Drosophila melanogaster: one gene and its partners. The gene in region 1 interacts genetically with each later gene. Each region holds a gene or a part of one and is shown in the gene's direction. Other genes may lie near its edges.

Region 1 (4,855 bases):
TGCCCCCGAGCTCCATTAGCGATCTTTGTTTCTCTTTCGGGTCACTGACAAAAACTCCAATTTGAAATCGTTTAAAAATAGTGAACTCACACAAACACCGATGGACTTCTAATAATAAAAATCAAATCCTGGTGGGGGCGGGGTATATCCACCGTATAGTGGAGCTAAAATCATTGCGGGGGCGTTCCTCGATCTGGATCTGCATCTGGTTCGGGTCGGGTCGCTCTCTCTCTCTCTCTCTATCCCCTTTCATATGGATTTGGCTTTCACATGCCAGTTCTCGTTGGACTTCGTTTTTTTCGTTCTTGAAATCGCTTACATTCACTTTTTATTACAATTAACCTACACGGAGTGGTGCATGGTGTGCGTTAGTGGTATTCCCCCCTTTCCACGCCTACACCACATATTTTAATTGCCATGTGGGGGGTGTTAGGACCATATCTTTTGTTGCCAAAAAATCCAAAGAACGAAACAAATTTATGACATAGAAATGTCAAGAGTTGTGGCTGTGTGTGTGCGTTACATATTTCTATTTCTGGCCCGCTGGGCTGCATTCGGATATATAGCTATACCGTTATGGATGGGATGCATTTACGTAAATGATTTAGAACATATCGAACACATTTTGAAGGTGACTTTGACAGAGCGAACAAAGTTCCAATTCACTAAGTTCACTTATTTCTGTCCTTAGGCCCAAATGGAAACTGCAAGCAAACATTAATTATCATTGCGGTGTGTGAACAATTAGAGCAATGGTATTTTTCAAAAATGTACCTGGCCATTGCATGAATAAGTAGAACAAATGGTTTTTTGTTAAAAATAATTTAATAATTATATTCTTTAAGGTGCAGGTTTATACATATTCAAGATTTACAAAAAACCTTTTTTAATGGGGTCTTAGCAAAAATAATGAAAATTTCCAAAAATAAAAGATAATTGTTTTGTATATGTACGTACTTAAGCTGACGACTTAAAATGAACAGAAAATCATCAAAGCAAATTTATGACACTAAGCATAATTATAATATAATAATTATAATATACATAAGCCCTAAATAATTATAACGTGCCCAATCACTTGTGTCAAAATTGTAAAGATTTTTAGAAATTAAAATTCCTAAAATGTCTATTTATATGTCCATATTTATTATCTATTATTATCTATAGTTTTACACATTTAAATTTTTTTATCACCTAAAAAAAAAAGATTTATCGAAGGCTTGAGAGAGCCACAAAAAATACATTATCTAGTTTCTACCGTTAATTTAGTCACCGATTTGCAAAAATTAGTTGCCAGGCTATTTTATAGTCCGCAACCTACGCCAAAAGCTTAAGTCTGTCTACTTTTGGCCAGTTAACCTTTTAGTTGATTGTCAACTCGACTCGCCTTCATTGAACTCGGCAACCCCTAAAAACCCCCCTCGGTAATCAACAAAACCAAAAACACTCGAACTCTCTTCATTGGATAAAAGTACTCTTTAAGAGCACACAAGAGAGCTCGTCGGACTGTGGGACAAACAAACACTTTTTCGTACTGAATGGAGGGTTGACAGTTTGATTGCAACAGTTGACACCTATAAAATTTAAGCTGACGAAAAGAGTTAGTCAAGCATTTATACACTAATATACAAAATAATATATAAATTGGAATATCTTTTCCACTTCTTATATGCTACAACGTTTTGAAGTTACTAAAATGCCACAGTATGTGGTTTTTTGCCCCACAGTGCAAGCGTAAGCGAAAGAGAATGACAGGCAGAGAGTGAAAGAGAGCGAGAGAGTTTCGAGTCGAATTGGAATGGAATGACCAGAAAAATATTGCTGCTTTCAGTTTCGAAAAATTTTTCGATGGAAGCGGTTCTGTCAGCGGAAAAGTGAATTATACCAGAGCCTGCCTGAAAAACTCAAGAAAACCCCATCAAAGAAATAGCAGCTCTCAGCTAAATAATAACAAACACAATACTTTCTGCTCAGTCACCGCAAACAGAAATAATCACAATTCTGCAAAACGCCGTCATCAAAAAAGTTTTAGCCTACAACTCTAGAAACGCGGAAAAATTTGTCAAAAATACAACTAAAAAAACAACAACGCGAGTGCACGTGTATGTGAGGTGCTCAGTAAGAGTGTTTGCGTGTGTTCGTTTCTGTGTGTGACAGATAATAAAAGGAGAAAAAAAGAAGTTGTCGAAAGTCGTTCGTGAAAATTCAAGAAAAATAGTGCAAGCGCTGCAGGGAAATTGTCCGGAAAAATCGCAAAATCCATTGTTTTTAGCCGGCATCTTAAAAACCAACGATAACAACAGCTTCTGCAACAACGCGCGTGTTTAGTTCACACACACACCACGGAGCGTCGAGAAAAAAAGGTTAAAAATACATTTTCAATTCACCATCGGCGTAAAAGTAAAACAATAAACAAATACAAGAAAATAAAACAGCAGCCGCTTTTTCACCCAACAACAACAATTTCAACAACTTCAACTTCGCCAGCAGCAACAACAACAAGTCAGCTGGACAACCGAAGGTGTTTATACTTAAAAACAAAAAAAAAAGAGATCGTTGTGTTTTTTTCCTTTTGTTTTCTCTCTTTTTTCGCCTTCGTCTTAAGTTTATGTTTTTTTTCTATCCATCGGTTTGTCTCTTCCCTTTCTTGCCACATTTCGTGGTCTTGTTTGTTATTGCTGTCGAATTTTCGGTGATGCCAAGTGAAAAGTCGGAAATTCTGTTTCATGACAGGGAAAACTTAATATTGTAAGGAAAGTTGTTCTCAAGACTGGAGAAGAAGAAATAATGGGAGAAAATTAACATAAGTAAACGTAAAGGAAACTAATGTTTTTCAAAGTTAATAAGGTGTATGTAGTTTTAAAGTGTAGTATCCATCCAATAAAACTTCGGTATTTAAAGTTTAAAAAAAAAAGTTAATTTCAACATACATAAAGTCTCATTGGTAGTGTTTTATAATTACAGTGTTGCAAAAGAAGTCACTTACTTAGAGTCTATTTAGTGCTGAATAAGGTGCAGAAACATTGACGTATTCAATATTACAGAGATGCATATGCATATATATCGGAGGCTAATTTATATTGTTTGATTTAAATAATTTAACAACAAAATTCTATTTACCAAATTTGTTCAGGCCAAAAAATATAAAAAAGTACGGAGCAATATACACAAATATACATTTATTATTGAAAACAAACTACTTTACACGGCCAAAAATATAAATTCTGCATTAATAAGTGTATTATAATCATTAAAAAAAACTTGCTTAATCTGTTAAAATAATGCACATCTCGTTCACTTGGCTTGGTAAAGCTTAATGACCGAAAATCAAATTGAAATTGAGCCTAATGAACTGTGAAATAATAATTAAAATTCAACAAATTGCAAACCAAATTTGTCAGAGTGAAAATGGGAATGGTTATTCCACATTATTGGGCATTAAATACGTTAAATATATCCACATTATTTGCGAAAGCGCCCTAACAGCTTAACATGAATATATATCATCTGTGGAGTTAATTAACTTAAAAGCACGGTAAAAACTACAAATATTCGCGTTGTAATATAATGCAAATTTAGCCATTTTTATTCTAAAGCCGGACAAGGCCTAGACTATTAAACAAACAAAATGGAGAAAAAAAAAATACATCTAAGTCGAGCGATTTTTACTGTGCGTTTCAACACTGTTAGCCAGTTGTAAAGAAACACACGTGACAATAAAACAAAACGCCTGCAAACAGGCAATTACGGAATTAATGGCTAAATCAAATTGTTTTGAAAGCTTACGATATTTAATGGGCTTAGACACCCGAACAGAAAACAGACATGATTCTTAAATTTAATGTGATTATTTTGTTAAACGAAACTGATTCAATTACCGCATTTGTTCTGACACTGCAAATCGATTTCATTTTAGGGTCTTAGAGACGAATTAATGGGAAATACGATCCCGAAACGCACTGTACTCGCACATGCAAATACATAGATTTTATTTTAACGAAAAGTCACGTTTTTTATGTGGTTCTCCACCTAAAAACCCACACCCCTCGCTCTTGCCAAGTCGTAACCATTAAATTTATGTTTATTTCGGTCCTAGCTTCGGTTTCAGTTGCAAAAAGATTGTTATTATAATTTTTCCGATTTGTTTCGTTTTCCTCCAGTTCAGATATGCAAATTGAATTAGCTCTGCCCGCTGGCAACTGGAAAACAAAAAGCAAAAGTTTGACACATTTCGTTTTTATTTTTACTCTTCATTTTTACCCATCATCATCAACAAAAGTGTCAAAAATGTGTTGCTGCAGAAATATGAGTCAAAGAAATCGTTTGGAAAATGCCAAAAATGAATTATTATTTCTGTCCATTTGTTCAATACACTCTGACAAGTCATTCACTTTTTCTCCTCCGAACGTACTCAAAAAATCAAACTCGAACCATAACTACAAAACGCCACGAATGCCACAAGACGGTTTTATATTTTGTTGGTGAAGGGGATTGGTATGAAAACTTGAGGACTTTTGGCATGACTAATCGATTCGATTTTTCGCCAAAAACTCATGCCGCAGTACAAAAAGACGAGGCAAGAAAAAACGTCGCTGTGAGAAATATGTGTTTGACTTGTAGTAAGAGGGTTTTGTGCTTTAAGCTCTTCTCAATAGGTCGTAAATATCGATAGGAACACCCCCTTTCGGTTGTCGAAAGTGTGGAAATAGCGTTGTATATGTCCGTGTTTGTTTGCTCGGCTCGCGATTTCAGTTTTGATGCGAGATGACAGCACTCGAAAAGGTGTCAGAGTTCAGACGAAAGGTATAAAAAGGTCTAGCCTTAAATCGCTAGAAAGCTCAAAACAATACAATTT
Region 2 (6,738 bases), 6.7 Mb from region 1:
GGATTTATCCAAAAGATAAACATTAACGACGGGCCATCGGATCCGTCGTGTCTGCCGCAGTGAAGATCAAATAAAAGTGAAAAGCAAATCCGAGCTGACTTTAGTTTGACCTTTGGTGCTTACGTGTGTTAGAAATGTGACCGCTATAGTAAAGTGTACTATAGAATGCCACCAGAGATAAGGTTTCGGAGCAGAGTGCCAAACCTGCTCAGACATTTGAAAAGTTCAAAGATATTTTCGGTCGGGCGATTGAAAAATGAAAGTCGCTCAACAGGTTTCGAGGTCTTTCTAAAATTCGCAATGTAATTTGGCCCCGCACTTATGCAAATACTTTACACATTGCTTCCAGCCATCAACATCTATAAGCCCACGGATGCCACCACTAATCCCTCCCTCATCTTGTCCGCTTCGTCCATGGAGCGGTACCAGCCGCTGGTCCAAAAGGCGGTGGAATACGCCAAGGGCAAGAAGGGGTAAGCAGTTCACTTGGGTGTTTGCCACACAAAGCTACATAGAATACCATCGTTTGCAGCTCCGTGAGTGAGCAGGTGGCCGAGGCCATGGACTACCTGTGCGTGCTGTTCGGAACGGAAATCCTGAAGGTTGTGCCCGGTCGCGTTTCCACCGAGATCGATGCCCGCTTGTCCTTCGACACCAAGAAGAGCGTGGAGAAGGCCCTGAAGCTGATCGCCCTGTACAAATCCCTGGGCGTCGACAAGGAGCGAATTCTGATCAAGCTGGCGTCCACCTGGGAGGGCATCAAGGCGGCCGAGATCCTGGAGAACGAGCACGGTGTGCACTGCAACCTGACGCTCCTTTTCTCGTTCGCACAGGCCGTGGCTTGCGCCGAGGCCGGCGTGACCCTCATCTCCCCGTTCGTGGGCCGCATCCTGGACTGGTACGTGGCCAACACGGATACCAAGAAGTTCGAGGCGCTCAAGGACCCGGGCGTGATCTCCGTGACGAACATCTACAACTACTACAAGAAGTTCGGCTACAAGACCCTGGTCATGGGCGCCTCCTTCCGTAACGTGGGCGAAATCAAGGCCCTGGCTGGCTGCGATCTGCTTACCATCAGCCCAGCGCTGCTTAAGGAGCTGGAGAACGAGACCGAGTCGGTGGTCACCTACCTGTCCGTAAGCAACGCCAAGCTGCAGGACATCGAGAAGATCACCGTCGATGAGAGCCGGTTCCGCTGGCTGCTCAACGAGGACGCCATGGCCACCGACAAACTTTCCGAGGGCATCAGGAAGTTCGCCGTGGATACTGTTAAGCTGGAGAATTTGATTAAGACCTATCTTAAGTAGATGTTCCTCTGGGTCCGCTAGCAGGTGGAGGATGAATACATTCGTTTTTGAAAAAGACAATGATTTTATACTTTAATAAACACTACAATTAAAAGAGATGACAAGATTCAGTTGGGAGTTATGGAAATTATTAAATGGGTGAATAGGTTTGGCATGCAAATAGCATGATTACTCGTTGCAGATATGGATACGAATAATAAATACTAAAAGTTTACAAAATAAATAAAATTTGCAAATTATATCACAGATAAAGATACTTTTTTTTTGATACCTTATCATAACAACTTCAAACATGTTTTCTACACGCCCGTGTAGAATATCTATGTAAGCCTGTAGAGACGGCTGCTTATGTAAAGTATCGGACGGGTGTTTCTGGATTTCGCTATTCTACATAGCTCGGGATACTTTATTTTATTATTAATATTCGCTAAAATAGCACATCGTCATTTGGCATAGATGTTTTTGGCCCAGTAACATATCTATCTACATCACCGCCCGCACTATCCGATAGGCAGACTGACTATCGATAAAAGTATCTACTTCGTTGCATCCCTAGGTTGATACATAAAATAAAAAATATATAAAAAGTGAGTTAGTACTGGTATTAAAAGTAATTTTTAAGCTACAAATTGATGAATTGCGAGCACACAGAGACTAAGAACATTGGGAATCCGGAAAACAGTGGCTGGCGCGTCGGGTGCGATAGAATTGCCTGTTTTTCAGACCCCAAAAGTCGCTCCCAACCGAGTCGTGCACCTATAGTCTTGGCCCGAAGTTGCTCCCATGAATAAAAATGTTCGGTAATTTCACGGTAAACAATAACCATTGTCGAACGCAGGGAATAGTCGCGTTCGCACACGTAATTGCCATCGCGCAGAGATGTGATTCGCCCCTGCAGCCCCTCGATCTCGACCGACCTCCCGATTTTCGGACGTCCTGCGTCCTGCGACCTGCGACCTGCGTCCCATGTCCTTAAACCTGAAATCAGTGAAAAATCGTTCGCGCATGAATATCCAAAATACAATCCCATCCATCGAATTCAATCCATTCGAATCCAAACCAATCCAAGCAGATGCGTTGCGATGCGATTCCATTCCATTCGATTCGATTCGATCCGATTCGCGATGGTATAGGTATAATATAGTTTTTCTAACCAAGTGTCAAAGAAATGGCAAATATTTCGGATTCGGAGGCACGGAGCACTACGTATTGATATATGTACATACATTTATTTATGTACATCCATCCATTCACACATGCGAACCGAGAACTTGTGTATATATCTAAATACATACGCACGTATATACGAGTAGATACACAACGGTGTGTACTCATATCTGTGAGATATATATGTGCCCGTGTCCGTGTCCGTGCCCGCTTAGATCCCGATTCCGATGCCGATGAATTTATGTACATATATTTACATTAAAATCTGCATATCTGCCATATCTGGCATATCTGCCACCACCCCCTCCGCCTATATAGGTATATGTGTAGGGTATAGTACGTTCATCTTCCTGCGACTCCCGTCGGTCGGCAATAATTGCTAGATTAAATACTCTTAATATTCGCGTGCCTACACTCATCCGTAAACCCACATACGAGCTAATCGAATCCGAATCCGCGTATCGGACCCATCCATTCCATTCGAGCCTCAACTGCAGATGGAATTATGTTGGGTTGGTATCTCTATATACATGCGTACCTGCTGCCCAGTATGCGCGAGAGTGCCACCCTCTCCGCCCCCTTCTTCACCTGTTACACTACGCCGATGTTGTGGATGTCGATGTGAATGAGAATGTGAATATGGCTGTGAATATGGATGTGAATATGAATGTGATGAATTCCAATCGTCCGACGCGAATGTCCAACGCGAATGAACGCGCGTTGCGTGGAGTAATTTTTGATTTTGATTTTCATTCCGATTCCGATGCTATGCGAGCGCTTTTGGGACCCGAAACCCAGTGACTCACGGGACTTTCGTGGGCGGCAATGTCAGCGGCGTCGCCTTGGCTTAGTAGGCACCCATTTTGGTCGCTACACTCGCGCGTACGCGGATGATATGGGGGCACTGAAGTGGATTCGGGATTCTATGCAATCGAAATGGGTTTCTGCTGGAGAATCTCAGTTAGTGGGAATAGAAAGCTCGAGGATCGTTAGTTCTGAAAGTTCTGTTACTCATTTTTCCATCTACTATACCATTGTACGAATGCAGCCTGCTGCAGAGATCCACTGAAGCGCTGAGCCAACGCCAACGGTGGTGCCACTGAGATCGGAGATCGGAGATCGCAGACCGGAGACCGACGAGCACACAAGGGATTGTGGTTTGATCCGAGGAACCCAAGCACTCAGCTATACTGGAGCAGAACGGAGAAAGCACAAGGGGTGCCGAGTCGCCCGACGCGAACCAGGAAAACCGAGCGACGTGTTGGTGGACCCCGTGGGCTGCGATGGGTTGCTTTGGGTCGCCCACCTCCAAGCAGTCGGACGTGAACTCGGAGGACTCGAAGAGCCAGAAGCGCCGGAGCGATGCAATATCTAGACAGTTGCAGAAGGACAAACAGCTCTACAGGGCCACACACAGGCTGCTCCTCCTGGGGGCGGGCGAGTCCGGCAAATCAACCATAGTCAAGCAAATGCGAATATTGCATGTCGACGGATTTTCTGACTCGGAAAAGAAACAGAAAATTGATGATATTAAAAAGAATATTCGAGACGCTATCTTGGTGAGTTCCATCCCGCCGGCCATCTAAGCCCAAACACTTGCTTAACTCCTTGCCAATCCCTTACAGACTATTACAGGAGCCATGAGCACACTTAATCCACCTGTAGCTTTAGAAAAGAAGGAAAATGAACCCAGAGTGGAGTACATTCAGGATTATGCATCTAGTAAGAGCCTCTGCCGCCCCAACTTAAGTTGTTATCAACCATTATCTGCCCCGCAGGTCCGGACTTTAATTATCCTCCTGAATTTTATGAACATACAGAAGAACTATGGAAAGACAAGGGCGTTCTTCAAACCTATGAGAGGTCGAATGAGTATCAATTAATCGATTGTGCGAAATAGTAAGTAATGCCCACCCACATTTAACATCCTGCCATCGATGTGTTGAGCCAAACGAATAGTTCTTGTAGCACTACAAACAGATTTAATTGTTTAATTTAATTCATCTCGGAGTGCATGCCAATTGTTCTGAAAGCTTAACTATGTGTTTCACTTGGAAGTGCAGAAATTCAATGCGTTGGATCGAAAGTATGCAACTTTTAATTCTAACAAGTAATCCGCTTGATGAAGTAAACTTTAAATATCGTCGCTTTGCTGCAGTATGACTATCTGAAAGTAGAACCACAACCTAAACCTACTTTCGCATTCCATATCTGTCTGTCTGTACAATAATTACTACAATATATGGGTTTTAGAATGAGTCCAATTCTTAAAAGGAGCTAGTAGTCGAAGTAGTACCAACTACGCCATGCACATAGAAGTATCGTAACGATCATACTTTTCCAAGTTGAGAAGGCTTTTTGTTTAATTCCCCGAAGAAACAAGTTGCTAAACACCAAGTCCCAATTTTCCGTAGTTTATGCCAGCTAATCCGCATTTGTACTTGTATCTAAGCTTGATTAAGGCACTGAAACCGAATTTGTACTTACTTCTACACTTGATATTCTGCTTTGAAGCTTCCTGGACCGAGTGAGCACAATCAAGAATCCAAACTACACCCCTAATGAGCAGGATATTCTTCGGTGCCGTGTTTTGACTTCTGGAATATTTGAAACAAGATTTCAAGTGGACAAAGTAAACTTTCAGTAAGTGTAATCCCAAGTGATATCGCAATATTTTAGTTTCTATTCCATTCTAATGATGTGCATTCGCGTGCAGCATGTTCGATGTCGGTGGCCAGCGGGACGAGCGTAGGAAATGGATTCAGTGTTTCAATGATGTAACTGCTATCATATTCGTAACTGCGTGCTCAAGTTATAACATGGTTTTGCGGGAAGATCCCACCCAGAACCGACTTCGAGAATCTTTGGATTTGTTCAAGAGTATTTGGAACAACAGGTGAACCGAGCAATTTGGCGCCATCTCGACAAATGGAAACTAACGAGTTGTTCTTTCAGATGGCTTCGCACGATTTCTATTATACTATTTTTAAATAAGCAAGATTTGTTAGCAGAGAAAATTAAGGCTGGAAAAAGTAAATTGTCGGAATATTTCTCCGAGTTTAACAAATACCAAACGCCAAGTAAGTAAAATAGTATAACCCATAGTAGAGGCCAATTGAGGGCGAGGGAGTCATCAGATCAACCGACTCAGATCTGGCCAAGAAATTCGCAATTCCTTTTCAAATTTGCAAACCGTGCCCAAGTTAACTTAAGAAATTTAATGGATAATGTATTTTGTCTAATTTCAAATGTGCTGTCGACACAGGTGACGCAATAATGGAATCCAATGATGACCCAGAAGTAATACGAGCAAAATATTTCATACGAGACGAGTTTCTGGTGGGTTATATCACATCTCCGTTTCTTCCTCCACCTATCTAACTAGCCTTAATCCTTAATGGGATCTCTTTCTTATATAGCGTATATCTACCGCTAGCGGAGACGGAAAACACTACTGCTATCCACATTTCACATGCGCCGTTGACACAGAAAACATTAAACGTGTGTTTAATGATTGCAGAGACATTATTCAAAGGATGCACCTTCGTCAATATGAATTGTTATAGGTTATCCCCATCGCCGTAATGCAAGTAAATAAAAATATTAATGACTTACTGTTTTAAATATAATTATCAAATGTAATTTGTATTTAAATAGTCCCTTGATTAAAACAAAAAATTCGCTGCATTTAGATCTGGTATGACCTTTCACAAAACTCAACATTAAAGAATAATAAATAAACATGTTAATAACAGACACGCTTGTTTCGATTATTTTGGCTATTCTACCAGGATGCACCTGCTTTATTTTCTATAGTCCCTTGACATGAAGCATTTTAGAGTATTTCCGCTATCAGAGTCCGTATCCATATCCATGGGCATTTACATTCACGCGCTGTCGAAGGTATCACTAGACGAGCTGGTTGAGGATGCTGAAGCTGGCGGAGGCCTTGTCGATCTCGTCGAAGTTCCGCTTGAGCTTACTGCTCCAGGTGTCCTTGTACAGGGGGTCCATCCTCACCAGGTAGGGCACCAGGTCCCGGTGATGGCCAGACCCGATCTTGCCGGCCGCGCACTGCTTCACCGAGTACTTCGTCTTGAACTCCGACTGGCTGCACTCGTAGCAGACGACCGTTTGTCCATTGGCAGCCGAAATCAATCTGGGGATCAGGGCATATGTTTCAGTGATTGGGAAGGGGATTAGTGAGTTCAGTGAGTAATGGCAAATAGGCGGGCAAGCAGGCACTTTGGCTGCCGGTATAGCC
Region 3 (7,472 bases), 4.0 Mb from region 1:
ATGATGGACCACCTGCCCTCCAACGATAAGCACGTCCACGCTGACTTCTACAATGATTTTGATGATCTGTTCGATGAAGACAACTGGGCCAAGATGAAAACCGATGGGAAACAGTAGAGGCCACCACGCAATAAATGGATTGAAAGATTTGTATTCGCGACTCGTTCTTCTGTCTGTAATTTTACTTGCACAATCAGCGATCATTGGTGTATAAAAAATTGCTTCAACTATTGTTTAATCGCTTATTATATTCATTTGGTTCGTATAACTAAGGTAAATTGCCATGTGAGATAGTGCCGAGGTGGATATGAACTTTGGCTTAGCGTAAATCAACAAAATGCATAATTTTGTACAAAAAAACGAAACTATTAACTAAATTTATCGAACTGAGTTTCAGGTGGAATGAAGCAATCATAATTGAGATAAATACAAATGTACACAATAACCTAATGGATCCGTGGAAGTTGTTAACCAAGTTGTAGGCCCTCTGCAAAGCTATCCGTCCAACGGCGTGCCCAGATAGACCATCGAGACCTCGGTATTGCCGTAGACAGCGGATACTGTGGGATAGAGCTTTTTGTCCGGCAGGCCTGCAAGGTGAAAGTGCATAGAATCGTTCGTATCGCTGGTATCACCAAACTATTTCCCCTTACCCCGGAAGGCCACACCGAGGAACTCGTAGTTCTTCTCGAACGACAAGGTGTTGTCCTCGCAGTCGAGAATGACGCGTATCCGCTCGCCCACTTGGTACTTGGGAGCATTGTTCAGCAGCGGGTAACTGCCCTGCATGTCGCCGTTGTGCAGCAGGTGGTTCTCGACCAGATTCCAGCCCCAGCTCTGGTCGTCGGAGCCGAGCAGAGCCACATAGCCGTGACACTGTAGAGCCGCCTCCTTGGTAGATATGCCGATGACGGCCACAGTGCCCAGCGGTCCCTCCCATATCACCTCCCAGGTGTGACGACCGTGGCGGAATCCTATCTTGCCCCGGGCCGCGTCTGTGCTCTGCGCCACGGGATTGCTGCGGGAATGGAGGGACATACATATAACGCCGACTCAAGCAAACCGAATACCTTACCGATGCAGGGTGAATCCGTTCGGCTTAATGTACACATTCCTCGAACAGTCGTTGGGGCTCCAGGCGTGAAAATAGGCCCGCAGCTTCGTCTTGTACGTGGAGACGGAGGCCAGCAGGTCCGATTTGAGGGACTCCTTGGGCAGCTTGTTCAGGCAGTGCCAGCGCCAGACGTCGCTGTTCTCGTCGTTGAGGAAGTGGTACCAACTTTTGCACACCTGCGAGCAATGACTGAGGTCGTCCAGCTCCAGGTAGGAGAAGATTACCTCCAGCACATTGTAATTGCACAGCGCCGCCACCGGATCGACCATTGTGTGCGTGTGCGCTCCGCTGCTGGGCTCGTGTAGATAGCTGCTTGGATTTACCCGTTCCTGTTGATTGTCATTTTCCCACACCAACCAAATGGGTAAAAATAAAACTCGAAAACTTTAATATTCTGCGATTCAGGGTGACCGTTGGCGGGCTGCCAGCGAAATACCGCTCACCTGGACAAAGTGGCAACTTTGTTTACATCCGCGACCAGTGTGCGATAGCGACTGTCGCACACAGCTGCTTACAACACTGCGTAAATTGATGCGTAAATTGGCGCGCACTGTCTGCCATTTCATTCGCACCCGCACACAGCCTGCTTTGCCTTTCCCACATGAAAACGAAAAGCAGCCACTTGGTGGAAATTTTGTGACCATTTTGTTGCGCTTAGAAATTGCGGAAATTCGCGCTGCTGCCAGCCGTTCGATAGCTAAAAGTTCGCCGTATCTTTTGCCACTAATCTCGTGAAAATCCGTGCGCCGAAACACCGCGAAAAAGGCCACCGAAAAAGGGCCGCCGCTGTGAGTGTGTGTGAGCAGCAGAAAAGAAAAAAAAAATGCCCTGCCGCTGGAAGTGAAAAATGCGCTCGCCATTTTGACTTGGGCGACACTTATTTTTTGTACAAGTGCGCTCCCCATTGCAGTCGTCGTCGTCGTGGTCGTGGTCCGCATCCGGATTTGCACACGTGCCCCAGTCCGTGGGTGCAGTACGTCCGCCTATCCACCGCCGTCGCCCATTCCAGCTCCATTTGCCCCCCCCTAGCACACACGTTGCGGCGAAACGGCACGTAGCACTGCTCTTTCCTTTTGTTTTTGGCGGTCCACCTGGTGAGCGGTAAGCGACAACAACAAGATCACTTGATCTCCGGCGGCCGAAAAATGGCGCATTCGACGGGCGGTACGGTGAAGACCGATGAGGTGAACTTCTTCTTCCGGAACGAGCACGGTAAGTGGGCGGAAGCGGTGTCCTGTAATAGGAGTTTTGCTCACGATGGAGTGAGTGCACTCCCTCCCTCCGCTATAGTCCATCATACACACACACCCCCTCATACACAAGGCGACCCACACAGATACGCTACAAAGTTGCATGGGCAGCGTAAAACGCCATCTTTGCTTTTTCGGGTTTCTTTTGCCTACCGTATTCATCGTTTGATACGCTTTGCGGGGGGAGGCCAGCGAGACGAACCGAAAAGAGTGCTAGAAATTGGCAAAAAGTAATAATAAAAGACAGAGACCCCCGCGAAATAACAACTTATATCAGTAAGCCACCCAGACCCGCCCCCTTCTGCCATCTACGCCCATCGCCCAGTTGGCGCGCTTGCTCACACACACACATGCACGCACACTAGCACGCGCGCGTTTTCTCCTACTTATTTTTTTGTTTTTTCATTGGGCGGCGAACAGCTGATTACTTCGCCGCCACTGCGAATTCGCTTTGAGGATTTAGCATGAAGTGAAGTAGTGATAAATCGTTGATTTCAGCTACGTACAAAGGTATTATTGTGAGGGACATTGTAAATTCAACTTGAAACAAATGTATCTGAACAGCGTGACATTCTGCCATATCTTAGCGAGTGGGAGAGAGACGGGGCGCACCGCCAAGAGAGATCGGGGTGAGAGAAAAAAGGCCACAGCAAGAACAACACTGCCACACACACACACACGTAGTCAGCCACGAAGCTGAAGCCCAAAACAGGCGAGAGCAAATAGGTGTAAGCGCTGTACACGTGTGTAGTTGTCCGTCGCCGCGTTTATGCGGTATTTACCGTACCCCGCAGTACTGAACTGATTAACTTCATGAGTTTCATTCAGTCATGATAGCAAAGAAGAAGATATGGATAGCTTTATGACGTGCTTTTATTTGTATAAAATGTCTCTTTAATCCCCAATATGTAAAGAAATAGTAATTTTTAATCAGTGATATTGCTCTTTGTTGAATATGAAGCGCGCATAAACGCTTTATATAGACCAGTATATCAGCCTGTTCGTACCAGCGAGTTACCTGGTTTGTAGTTATCTGCTGGTTGACTGGTGCAGACGAACTATGGAACTGCTTCTCCAATTGTAGGGATTATGGTTTCACCTGCATTTTGGGACTCTGCCTAGGCATTGTAGGATAACTCCCGCCGAGTTTAAGACTCCCATCGTTACCATCTGGTGGGACAGTCCGGCATTTTCTCGCATGTGTCCGCTGCTCAAGCCCCCGTGAGTCTGACTCACTTGCAGGTGTGTGTGCGTGTGATGTGCCCGTGGGTGCGGGAGAGTTGGCAGGTATTTTTAGCGCTCGACCCTTTGCGGTTTTTGTTTTGGGCATCTTCATCTCCATTATGCGTTGTCCACCTGCTTTGTTGTTATGATTATGCAAATATTGGGCTGGCGACAGGTGAACAATTATTACATCGAATGAATACCATCTAAAACTGGAAATGTTTAGAAAAGCCGGTTGGATACGAAACCCAGGGGTGCCAACCGAGTAGTCTTAATGGGTTTCCGGTTAATTCTGCCTTGATATTATAGTTGCTTTGGAATGGAAGTGCTCATAGTGTTGGATATACCAAATTAGCAGTAAATAAAATTTACTAAAGAACGCAACTAAGAACAGTGATTTGAAATGTCACGCTTTTAAAAATACTAACCGGTATCATATTTGCTCTTACTTTTTCTTCTGCTTAGGCTTCTGCTTGATTTATTGTCTTTCCAGTTAAAAGTCGAATTGTGAGTTTTAATGGGAAACCTATAATCGCACTATATTTAATTCAAATTATATTCGAACTTGGATTAATCCGACTAATGACTGATCAACAATCTTGTCGAGTCACGAACTTTAGTATCGAACCATCTCTAATTGGTTAAGGGTCACGTGGTTGCCATCACTAATGTCCAGGCGATCTGGTTTCGGGTTGTTTATGCTTCTGCATTTGTATCCTTGTCACACCGATTGAAACACACGCACACTCACCACCAGCACGTGAGTGTGGGTATACCTTGTGTGTATGTGTGTATGCACCCCAATCTTAATGTGCCGCTCGCCTTTCGTTGTTGTATTCCGACTCCAGTGCGCTTAACTCGCTCCATTCCATTCTCTTCACTTCGCTGCGATGAATTCACCGTATATACGGCGAAAAAACGCATCGTTGATAGTACCACACATACATTCAGTTACTCGCTAACACTCTGACACCCATGTGTGTGTCTGTGGAGTACATGCAGTTTTGTTATCAACGACGGCATTTCAGTCGCGTGTTATGTGTATATCGGAAACTAAGGAACCTCCGCATCTTCCAATTTCCAATTCTGCAGGACAAATATCCAAAATGCTGAAGCCGGCCCAGAACAAGTCCGAAATGGAGGGAGGTAAGCCCGTGGCGGTGGTCTACGCCACCGGCTCATCCGCGCGCAACAGCGGAAGTGCTAGCGGCATCGGCAACGTGGGACGCATGGGCGCCTTTAGTCAGATGGTAAGTGTAGAACGCGGTTGCTCACGTTGCTTACACTTAGTACCTAACGATCCGATTTAAACGCAGGGCAGTCAAGGGCAGTTTATACGACTGCAGGACAACGGACTGTCCATTCCAAAAACAGAAGGTAAGCGTGTGATCCTCCTCTTACCACTTCAATTAATCATTGTATCCCTTATTGTAGCAGGTACCACCTACACCACCGTTTCGGCGCAAAAGACTTCGGGTGCTGGCAGTGGTCATTACGACTTGCCCTTGAAGGGAGATCGCTATGTGAAGTTTACACCAAATCCCATAAAAATGAAATCAAAACTGTAAGTAGTAACCAACCGAGCAGGATCGAGGAGGATACTATAGCTTTGTTCCTTCCCAAACAGCCATGCCATTCAGAGCAACTCGTTGCACTCCATGTCGGCCTCCTCATCGTCCGTTCAAAGGAAACGCAAGCCGGACAAGGCAGGCAAAGGTTTGCGCCATTTCTCGATGAAGGTATGCGAAAAGGTGGAGGAGAAGGGCAAGACCACCTACAATGAGGTGGCCGACGACCTGGTCAGCGAGGAGATGAAGAACAATGCGTACGACAACAACTGTGATCAAAAGAATATCCGACGTCGTGTCTACGATGCGCTCAACGTACTGATGGCAATCAATGTTATTTCCAAGGACAAGAAGGAGATTCGCTGGATAGGACTGCCCGCAAATTCGACAGAGGTGGGACTTGTGTTCACCAAAGGCACCAAACTCCATGCTAATGTGATTATTTTGTCCCCTTTTCATAGACATTTCTGGCCCTGGAAGAGGAAAACTGTCAGCGCCGCGAGCGAATAAAACAGAAAAACGAAATGTTGCGCGAAATGATCATGCAGCATGTGGCGTTCAAGGGATTGGTCGAGCGGAACAAGCGAAACGAGAGCCAAGGCGTGGTGCCTTCCCCGAATGCCTCGATCCAGCTACCGTTCATCATCGTGAACACGCACAAGTCCACGAAAATCAACTGCAGTGTGACCAACGACAAGTGAGCGCTCACACTCAGTCGGAGTATGGCTTGTATTCTATTTCCCATATATCGTTTCAGGTCCGAATACATATTCAAGTTCGACAAAACCTTCGAAATGCACGATGACATTGAGGTGCTCAAGCGTATGGGATTCCTATTGGGTGAGTGTGTTTAATATTGGGCATTCGGGATAAGAAATTCATTGCATATGCTATTACCTGCAGGACTGGATAAGGGCGAATGCACGCCGGAGAACATTGAACGAGTCAAGTCGTGGGTGCCTCCAAACCTTGCCAAATACGTAGAAGGTATGACCATATATTGTCTTCCAATTCACTGTTATTAAACTTTATATTTGGCCCAGCCTACGGCACCGGCAAGACTGGCGAAAATATGTACGAATCGGATGACGAGGACAATGAGTTCAACGGGTACCTGGAGTCGGCCAATGAGTCCCAGGGCTTTGCACAACACTCGGCACAACACACCACCGATGGCGAGTTCAAGCTGGAGATGGATGATGACGAGCTGGACGACGACATTGATTGAGCTGATGGTGCCGCCGTCATTGTGCCAGCCATGGCCGATGCGGACACGGATGCGGATGGAGGAGCAGATGCTGATGCGGAGGACACGTTTAGTTTTACGTTTATCAACGCTTTGTTAGGTTTGCCACGGCCCCCTGGTTAGTCAGGAGCCGCACTCCACTCCAATCCACTCCACACCCAATCCGACCCACCCACACAATTGGTTTTGTTTACTTCTCAATGAGACTCTTAAATTATATATATACAATCTCGCAGCGACGAGAAAGATTCGGTAGTTCATGTATGTAAGTGTAGTTTGCATACACAGTTTGTAATTGTATCATTGAAGATTTATGTTTAAGCTGAAACGTTTTTAAAATAATTTGTCTAGTTAAGGAGAACGCGTTTTTAGTTCAAACCACAATTCACATAAGGCAATACCGCGAAACCACATGCCCAGACTAATGTTCACTCTCTAATTAGTTGTTATCAGTCTCCCTTTTCCCCCCAATGGCCTTTTCATGTTTGGGTAGGCTTAAGCAAAAGCGATAATGTTATGGGTAATTGTCTCTTAATAATATAATATACCAAAACTGTACACAACCGCAGTGAAATGCAATTATTTTTAGAATGCCACGAGCAGTTTGAACTGCAGACAAGAGCGAACATATGAAATATGTTTAATTTGCTAACACCCTTTGACAAAGCGATTCTTTTAGATTCTCAAAACCCAAATTTTAAGTTGACAAGGGAGTGCAGATAGTTGCGAAATAATCAACCTACCTAATTAGTAATAACAATTAAAACACGATATACATTTTCAGAATTTGTATTTATATTATTGAACCCTCTTCAAGTGAATACAACAGCATGCAAATACAAATTAGTAGTCAAGTATAAGGCGTTAACAATTAAGTGTCGAGCATGTAGTTGTGTAATGAAACGAAATAATTGCATGGATGGAAAGGAAATTGCAAACAAGTGAGACGAAATCGAACCGAGTGACAAGTTAATAAAGAAGTAATTTGCATATTGTAAAATATGATAAACAGAGAATTTAATCTTTTCCTCCCTTCTGCTTGCACCCAACCCAAGCAATAAGTCCAATAA
Region 4 (8,024 bases), on another chromosome or scaffold:
TTTTATTGAAACCGTTGGTAAATTGTAAACATATATAAGTAGAATGGGCCGAAATAAGGGATATGCTATTCCATTTTAGAATTTGTGGATTTTCTTTGAGATTTTTCCGCCATCGTTTTGGATTTTCTTTCAGCTTTCATGTCAGATTTCCTTTCCGTCTTCATTTCAGGCTTTGTATCGGACTTGATTTCAGACTTCAGTTCAGACTTCTTTTCAGACTTCCCTTTAGACTTCTTTTGAAAGTTTTTTGTAGACTTTGGTACAGATTTTCTTAAAGACCCCCTCGACATTCGTTTTAAGGCGGCTAATTCCTAGTGACATTTCATCTAATGATGACTCCATAATTCGATTTCTCTGCCAAGACTTACCCTTTCTTCGCGAATCATCCTTTCCTGATCTATGAGTGCTTGCACTTCTTTGATTCGCTGAAGATACATATCCTTCTGTTCCATGTAAAACTTTAGGTCGTCCTTAAGCTTTTGCAGTGCAAGCCTTGATACGGTGCACATGACGTCGGCGTGTTCCAAATCGGTATCAAGTCGGTCCTGCCAATTTCGAATGCTTTCCCTAAGCTTTCCCACCTCCAACTCATACATGAGTCCGGAGGAATACTGCACCTTTTCATCCTGCACTGCTTGTACCTCCAGGTCTTGTAGCTCTCTTTTTATCTCCACATTTCTTTCGTTCATCCGGGTCAGACGCTGATCCGTACAGCTTTTAAACCAGTTGATTTGATATCGCGTTTCAATCGGGTTCAGGGCTGCGGAAGAAGATGAGTTTTCCAAATATGGCTCATAGTAACCCCACTCACCTGATTTCCTTTCGAACACTATCATTGCCGATGAGTTACGACGTAACGACGTCAAGGAGCCACTTTGCTCATTGAGCAAAGCGACTGACGCACTGGATGCCAGATTTTCGATATTATCATTAAGGCTCTTTACCCAAGGGGCATTCATGTGGTATTGGGCATTTCTGCAATAGAACACATATGTCAATGTCGCAGTTAAAGCTAAACAAAGCAATCGAAACACCCTTACTTTAACAAATGTAGGCTATTTTCGCAGAGGTCTACGTCGTCTCGAAAATCTCTTCTAATTTCGTGTATAAGGTGTTCGATCTCGCTGAGATCCTTGCAGAACTTAACGCAATCAAGATCCTTGACACTTCGCTCCCGATTGAGGACATCAAGGTAGATCTGCTTTACGTCCAGTCGCAATAAGAAGTCATCCAACGACCAGCTGAACAGATTGTTTGGGGTCTCCTCCAGATCGCCTGGCCAGGGCATCGAGAAGAGTCGCAACTGTCTGAGCAGACGAACCGATAGGAATTCGATGGCCGCCTTTTGGACTTGGCGAATGAGATCTGCTATTATGGTGGACCTCAATCTTATGCTGGCTATGACTTCCTCCATTGTTCTCCTTACGGACGTTCTTTGGCGCTTTTGGGCCATCTGCAGCACCACCATAGCCTCGGCTTCCTTTACATCTGTGTCTTGGAGCTCCACTGGCCGCTTGACTATCGAAACGTCCCGCACTGTAGATCTAACCACTAATGAGGCCACTCGGGACTCGTGCTCCCTTATCAGATCCTTGAGAAACTCATCTCGGCACATTGATGGATCTTCTTGCTCCGGCAAGGGAAAGGGAATTTCCCAAGAGTCAAATTGCTCTCCTTCGAGACTAACCATGCCAGGTACCACGGCTTTCAAATGCTTCGTCTTTTTATGGGGCATTTTTAGAGTTTTTTGTTTATTTTTGTTTTATGTTTTCTATTCTGAAGTATTTTTTGTGAGTATCATTTCTAGGAATAATGTTAAAAGGGGCTGGTACACCATCATATGATGGTGAAATCTAAATACAACGCATTGAATTCCACACCACGGAGTTATTATCGTTTATGGTGATAAATTTCAAATCCCCCGCCATTTAGTGTTGGCAAGCGTCGTTGCAAAGCGAACAAATAAACAGCTGATTAGGCAGTGGATAGAAGCAGCAGCTCTAGCCATTCGCATGTCAACGCGGCTGCACATTGCTTTGAATTTTTGAATGTGTTCGTTCGTTTATTCTTTTTACTCATTGTTTTTCGAGTGTTGTTTATTGTTTTAATCAAAGTTAGTTGCTCCGCTTGTCAGTTTACATAAGCAATCTCACAGGTGGGACCGAATCTAATCGACTCTCCTCTGCTTGGCCAGTTTCCATCCGCGGCGCTCAGTTGCTAAGTTTAGTTGGCCACTTTTCCGATTCGGAGACTCAGGTGCATTTTCCGTGACCAGGTAAATAAGCTTGTCTTAGTCTATTGTTTCTGTATTCGGCGGCTTGTTTATGTGCTTGATTAGCAGTCAGCTGTGCATATTTGCGTCTCTCACATGCACACTATATTTGGCTTTTAATTACCCACAGCTGCGCGTGTGTGTGTGTGCGCCAGAGTGGGAGCTTGTGGCCGTGTGTGTGTGAGCCCAGAAACCGTAGTTACGTACATCACTGCGTATGAGCAATAAACTGTAATTGAGTCAAGGTCAGTAATTGGCACTTGATTGACAAACTTCGATAGCTGCTCGCTTATGTACATTTAAATTCAATTATTATCGCCTCTCTCCGCCCAAATATTTACATGCATATATTCCATTTGCCCTGCTTATCATCGATCGGTACGGGTTTGAAAACCTTTCCACTGACGTTTGAATTTATGACCTGAAAAAGGTATTTGCTCTTCCCTCTTTCTGTCCATATTAGTGCCTCTAATCCCTGCGATCTGTTCGGTTTATGCGCCATATAATTGATGTGGTTTCCACTGGAACGTTAACCAAAGCCGATCACGACTGACAGTTTGCTTTGCCACGGTTGGGAAACCACTGTCCCCCTGATAAGCACCGAAAAATGTCGAAAATAAGGCTCGTCCGACTTTAAGCAATTAAGCAAATAGCCAAGTTAACACTGCAAGTGGCGACAGAAGCTCACACACTCACCCACATGGAAAAAAACTCACGGGACTGAATCTTACGCAGATACAGTCGAAACCCGCTAATCAGATACCGGCGAGGTGTAATTCTAAGCAGATCAAGGCGACCCTGGCATAACAAAAATACCAACTCTAGAGAAATTTTTCACTCAAACCTTAAATTTCCAACATAATTAACCAAAACGTTATGTTTGAAATGAAAAAAACATGTTTAATGCTTAAACTGGCTAGCCTTTAAACACAATTTCTGTTTTTGTAATCATTAATTAGCTCTAAATTGGCTACAGTCAAAGGTTCGCCATAAGAATCTCAGAAAAAATAACTAAAAATCATTGTAAAGGCTTTAAAAAGAAAAGCTAGTAAGATGTTATATAAAAATTAAAGCTTTACTTTAAAAACGTTGCTCTTTAAAACTCGACCTTATTGTAAATTGTTATTAACTTAAGATTGTGGATTATATAGACGAGGCTTGACTGTACTTGAACGCACACAAACTGGCGAAAAAGATATGGAGAAGACGTCGACGAACTCGTTTCAATTGAGACGCAAACTGAAACACAATTCATTTCGCTGGAGAACGCGCAACCGAAAACATTTTCCACCTCTGCTCTTATTCGTCTTCTAACTGATATTTTTTTACTCACGGTTTCTTGGCCTTTGGTCTTTTGCGTCTCCGATAGAGCCCCAAAAATAAAATGGAGCAGTGGAACAATGTGGAGCTGACGAACATGTCCAAAAAGTCGTATACCCTGAATCATGCCTACGATGCCGCCGAGAAGTTGAACAAGGAAAACACGGCAAAGTCCTCGAATGGCAATGGCACCAGTGCCGATGAATCAACAGCTGCAGATGGCGATCTCCTCAAGCCAGGATCGGACGTGCGCCCAAAAGTGGAGCCCGAGGACGTGGAGAGCCTGCTGCGTCGCCTCTACGGGATCACGATAAGCGAGGTTAAGGAAATCGTCGCCTACGACGATCGCAACTTCTTTGTCAAGGAGGATAGGTAAGCAAAGCGATGACAGTATCTCGCTGACACCCTTTCCCAATCCCGCACCACATCCGGAGGTTTATCTCGTGTATGGGAGTTCAGCGTAAGCATCTCATACAGCTGCAGTCAGATTATTAGCACAGGCAATTTCAAACATCATAATATATCATTTAGATCAGGATTAGTCTTCTATATAGTAAACACAAGAATTCGTTGCTTGAAATAATATCTCCTTTAAAGCATCAACACAACATATTTTCTGTGCTTTGACATGACTGCAATTTTAGCTGCTGTTCGTAGTACGACTGTGCAACACGAAAACAAATAATAATGAGCCGGAGAAATGCGGCGGTATGTAGCATCTATTTATACCCAGTTTAATTAAAGTTGTTAGTCGCGGCAGTTGAGTGTGACGCAGTCGACAGTCACCTTGCCAGCATCGCAATTGCTATCTTGATGGATTCATGGCATTCAGCACTGATGTAGTCAGTTCAGCTCTTCACTTTAATAAATTAGATAAATCTAGAGAACAAAAAGCTTACAATCTAGAAGAGCCATCTATTTGAGGACAGGTTTCGTCTGGAAGCCAAACATGCTGAGCTTGGTTTGATTCTGGCTCACGGCACCCAGTTTTCCATTCGTCCTAGATTTAGGAGTGCCCTTCTTGGCAGTGGAGGGTTTACTCAGCCCCACTCTTCGTTTGCTGGTTGGCAAAAAGTTCTGGCGTTGCTGGCTGGAGGATGAGGTAGATGATGCTCTCTGATCCGAGCTACAGCTGTCGTCCGATAGCAGAATGATGGCATCATTATTGTTCCTGTCGGATTCCTGAGTGGGTTCCGGAGAGTTTTCCAGAAGTAAATCCAGTGACTTAATGCGAATAGTTGTTGAATTGGTATTGCCTTCAGTTGGTATTTGGGGTTGAGAGTTGTTGAGATCTTCTTGGGATTCTAAAGGCGAAGGAACACCTTTATCTTGTGATTCCAAAAGAGAAGAGGCTGTGGTATCTGTATCTGTTTCACCGTCACTGATTTGTGAACTACAACGTTGTCTTATTGGGTTCTTCCCTGGAATGTCTTTACATACTAGTCTTAGTTTCTTATGGCCTGAGTGAGAGCTCAGCTTCTGCTCATCCATATCGTCATTTTCCGTATCTCTTAAGTGCTCCCTTTGAAGCCTTGTCTGTTCATCCTGCGTGGCGAAGAAGCGACTTCGGATCTGAACTTGTTCCTTGGCGAATATGCTTCTTTTAAGCGAATCAACCTTTTTTACACCAGCTTCTCCATCCAACGGACTTGCCTTTTTCGGACTAAGCAAACGCAGCAAAGAGGCATTCTCACAAACTACTGGGGATCGCTGATTAGCTTCTTCTCCAGTCCTTTCCTTGGCAAATGGATTGTGCCGACTTTTGTGCACCGGCGACGGAGGAGGTGTACGTTCTTGATCTACAGAATCTTCCCTGCTCGGACTTCTCCTCCTTTTGGCTTTGAAACTGTACATGTTAAACAACTCGGCCTCCGTTTGTTTAGCCTGTTCCAGTCGCTGATTAGCTTCGATTTCCTCGTTTAGAGTTTTGCCCACAAAATCCACTTTTTTGAAGAACAAGGCACACGGATTTTCTTTCTTCGGCGTGTGAGTGTTTTCGCTTTGAAAATTCGTTTGCCAAATACTTTTGTGCTTGGATCGTTTCACGTTCTTCGGCGTTGGCCATGCCTTTTCCGGTGTCCAAGAGTCCAGTCGCTTCATAGAGAAGGGGTTCAAGTTGCCTAGGGCCAAGTGCAAAGCCTGCTCGCTATCCTCCAGCAAGGTGCCAGCATTGCTGCAGTAGCGCTCATCAGTTTCATAATCTTCGAGGGCACACAACCGCTGCATGCGACGCTCTAGCGGGTTGTAGATAAACATGTGCCTGAAGGTGGCCTCCGCTTTCATGAAGTTTTCAATATAGTCGTCATCTACCTGGATTAAAGGATTATTAGTCTTACAATTCAGACCTAACCGCAAGTTAACTTACCTCAAGATTGCGCATATTGAGGTAACTTGGAATCTTTTTTAATGCTATTCGCATGTCTTCCTGTTCCGTTTTTAGTATAAATTTGCACGCCTTGGCCAGTCCGATGCCAGGCAGTGAGTCCAGGTAATCACAGCCGGATAGGATGCACATGCGCCGGAACTTGTCAAAGTGGTACTTCTCCTCCGTGCAGCCCATGGCCAGGTGAAGTTTTTCCGCCTCCACCAGCAGGCCGCTGCCGTTGAGGTCCAGCTTGAATATGATGTTCTTGGCTCCAAAAAGCGTTAAGTCCGAGTCCTCGGTGATGATGTACTGGGCCACATCTGCTCTATTCAGCCAGGCCATTTGGGCATCGGCCTCGTAGGGCGCCACAATGCAGTCAACATTCCGGCTCCGGCATTCCCGGATCAACCGCAACGCCATGTCGTGGGTGACATCCACGCAGCGTCGCATATGGGATCGGGCCTCCTCGATGCGACCCAATCGAAGGAGTTCCGCCGCCCGCTCTTTGCTCTGCTTCCTGGAGTCCCTTCTCCGCTTTTCGGTCAAAGCCTTGGCCGGCAAGTGCTGCCCATCGAAGACCAGAATGGGCTTGATGTCGTAGGACAGCAGCATGTTCACATACTTCAAGCAGTATTGTATATAAACATCCGTATCCTCGCCGCGGGCCAACTTCTCCGCACAGCCGAAGACTCCCTTGTGTAGCCAGCAATATGTGTCCACGGCCACTGTGCTGCCGCGAATGTCTTTTAGATGCAGCTGCGAGGAGGCCTTGCCCACGAAGGGAATTAGGCCGGTAATGCCCATGGTTAGGACCAACAACAATAACACATATAAAAACGAAATAAACAATTAATAAAATTGCGGATCTTAGCGCCAAAATTGCCAATGCATCAGTGTGACCAAAGTGCGATGCTATAAAAAAAATTCGAATTGCCATTCACATGGAACGCATATGTCTATCATTATCCAACACTTGGATTTTAAAAATAATTCAATATTTCTAACAGATATTATTTTGTATTTTTATGAATGTGGCGCTTTGTTATGCCTCATTTTTTATTTACTCCTTAAGATAAGTAATTTCCTATTGAATACATTTCCGTATTGCAGTAATGTTAAGAACCCCCTCATTGTAACCCACTGTCCACACGGATACGTCCTGAAAATCCTCAACTCACTGGACTCTAAGAAAGAGGACTTCGTGGATGCCCAAAACCAGATGCTGCTTTACTTGGGTAAGAATTGCTAGCCAAATCATCAGCAAATTGACAATGCAATCGTATTCCCTAGGAAAACACAGTGTGAAATGCCCACGACCAGTAGCCAATGCAACAGGAAAGTATTACTCTGTGGAACGGCTGAATGGGAATTCGAATGTGGTGCGACTGCTGGAATTTATACCGGGAGAAATCTTCCACCAGGTGCCGGTGACGAAGCACCTGCTCTACCGCAGCGGCGAATACTTGGCCAGGTTGGATCGAGCCCTCAAGAACTTCACCCACCAGGCATATGAAAGCCACAAGACCTTGTGGATGCTTCAGAGTGTTCCCGAGCTTAGGCAATTCCTGTACGTGGTGAAGGATCAGGAGCAGCGGCTTATCTGCGACGAGGTGATCGATGCCTTTGAAGCCAAGGTTCTGAGCCAACTGCCATCCATGGAGCACCAGATCATCCATGGGGACTTCAACGAACAAAATATAGTGGTGGAGCAGGTGCCCAATCAAACTGAATATACCATCAAGGGAGTTATTGATTTCGGTGATACGAGCAAATCGCCACTGATCTTCGAAATTGGAATTGCCCTCACTTATATGATACTGCAGGCCAACGATTTGGCCAATGGTGGCATATTTCTGTCCGGTTATACCAGTCTGAACCCAATTGAGAATTCCGAGCTGGCCCTTCTCAAGTACTGTGTTACTGCCCGATTTGTTCAGAGCCTGGTAATGGGACTCTACACCCACACGCTGCATCCCACAAATGAGTACCTCCTGGTGACCCAGGAAAAGGGATGGAAGCTCCTTCAGAAGCTGTGGCGCGAGAGCTTTGACGATATTGATGAGCTGT

Evidence for each region.
Region 2: of mbl (region 1) and Galphas, changing one enhances a phenotype caused by changing the other (phenotypic enhancement), as found in Drosophila melanogaster (one study listed by BioGRID).
Region 3: of mbl (region 1) and Dp, changing one enhances a phenotype caused by changing the other (phenotypic enhancement), as found in Drosophila melanogaster (one study listed by BioGRID).
Region 4: of mbl (region 1) and CG31751, changing one enhances a phenotype caused by changing the other (phenotypic enhancement), as found in Drosophila melanogaster (one study listed by BioGRID).

What each region holds. Positions count from the first base shown.
Region 1 is NT_033778.4:17,263,691-17,268,545, forward strand, and holds the start of mbl (muscleblind), read left to right. Parts: upstream 1-1,827; 5' UTR 1,828-2,521; intron 2,522-4,855. UniProt on the Drosophila melanogaster protein: Required for terminal differentiation of photoreceptor cells. Vital for embryonic development.
Region 2 is NT_033778.4:23,940,708-23,947,445, forward strand, and holds Galphas (G protein alpha subunit s), read left to right. Parts: upstream 1-1,830; 5' UTR 1,831-1,894; exon of another isoform or gene 1,895-2,107; intron 2,108-3,269; exon of another isoform or gene 3,270-3,522; 5' UTR 3,523-3,757; coding exon 3,758-4,033; intron 4,034-4,099; coding exon 4,100-4,196; intron 4,197-4,252; coding exon 4,253-4,373; intron 4,374-4,988; coding exon 4,989-5,117; intron 5,118-5,190; coding exon 5,191-5,370; intron 5,371-5,429; coding exon 5,430-5,554; intron 5,555-5,730; coding exon of another isoform or gene 5,731-5,739; coding exon 5,740-5,813; intron 5,814-5,893; coding exon 5,894-6,040; 3' UTR 6,041-6,229; downstream 6,230-6,738. Other genes in the region: Taldo (transaldolase), read left to right, coding at 350-473, 533-1,307; orcokinin, read right to left, coding at 6,384-6,633.
Region 3 is NT_033778.4:13,220,787-13,228,258, forward strand, and holds Dp (DP transcription factor), read left to right. Parts: upstream 1-1,646; 5' UTR 1,647-2,259; coding exon 2,260-2,326; intron 2,327-2,804; exon of another isoform or gene 2,805-2,874; intron 2,875-3,388; exon of another isoform or gene 3,389-3,676; intron 3,677-4,535; exon of another isoform or gene 4,536-4,625; coding exon of another isoform or gene 4,626-4,680; coding exon 4,681-4,838; intron 4,839-4,904; coding exon 4,905-4,965; intron 4,966-5,022; coding exon 5,023-5,152; intron 5,153-5,215; coding exon 5,216-5,549; intron 5,550-5,617; coding exon 5,618-5,853; intron 5,854-5,913; coding exon 5,914-5,996; intron 5,997-6,059; coding exon 6,060-6,143; intron 6,144-6,199; coding exon 6,200-6,384; 3' UTR 6,385-6,959; downstream 6,960-7,472. Other genes in the region: CG17059 (uncharacterized protein), read left to right, coding at 1-117; Fsn (F-box synaptic protein), read right to left, coding at 496-590, 654-1,018, 1,076-1,383. UniProt on the Drosophila melanogaster protein: Component of the DREAM complex, a multiprotein complex that can both act as a transcription activator or repressor depending on the context. In follicle cells, the complex plays a central role in the site-specific DNA replication at the chorion loci.
Region 4 is NT_033779.5:18,675,198-18,683,221, forward strand, and holds the start of CG31751 (uncharacterized protein), read left to right. Parts: upstream 1-2,023; 5' UTR 2,024-2,275; intron 2,276-3,518; exon of another isoform or gene 3,519-3,641; 5' UTR 3,642-3,656; coding exon 3,657-3,964; intron 3,965-4,433; exon of another isoform or gene 4,434-4,507; coding exon of another isoform or gene 4,508-5,902; intron 5,903-5,957; coding exon of another isoform or gene 5,958-6,761; exon of another isoform or gene 6,762-6,878; intron 6,879-7,067; coding exon 7,068-7,192; intron 7,193-7,247; coding exon 7,248-8,024. Other genes in the region: Mst36Fa (Male-specific transcript 36Fa), read right to left, coding at 66-311, 369-760, 812-975, 1,041-1,735; tos (tosca), read right to left, coding at 4,508-5,902, 5,958-6,761.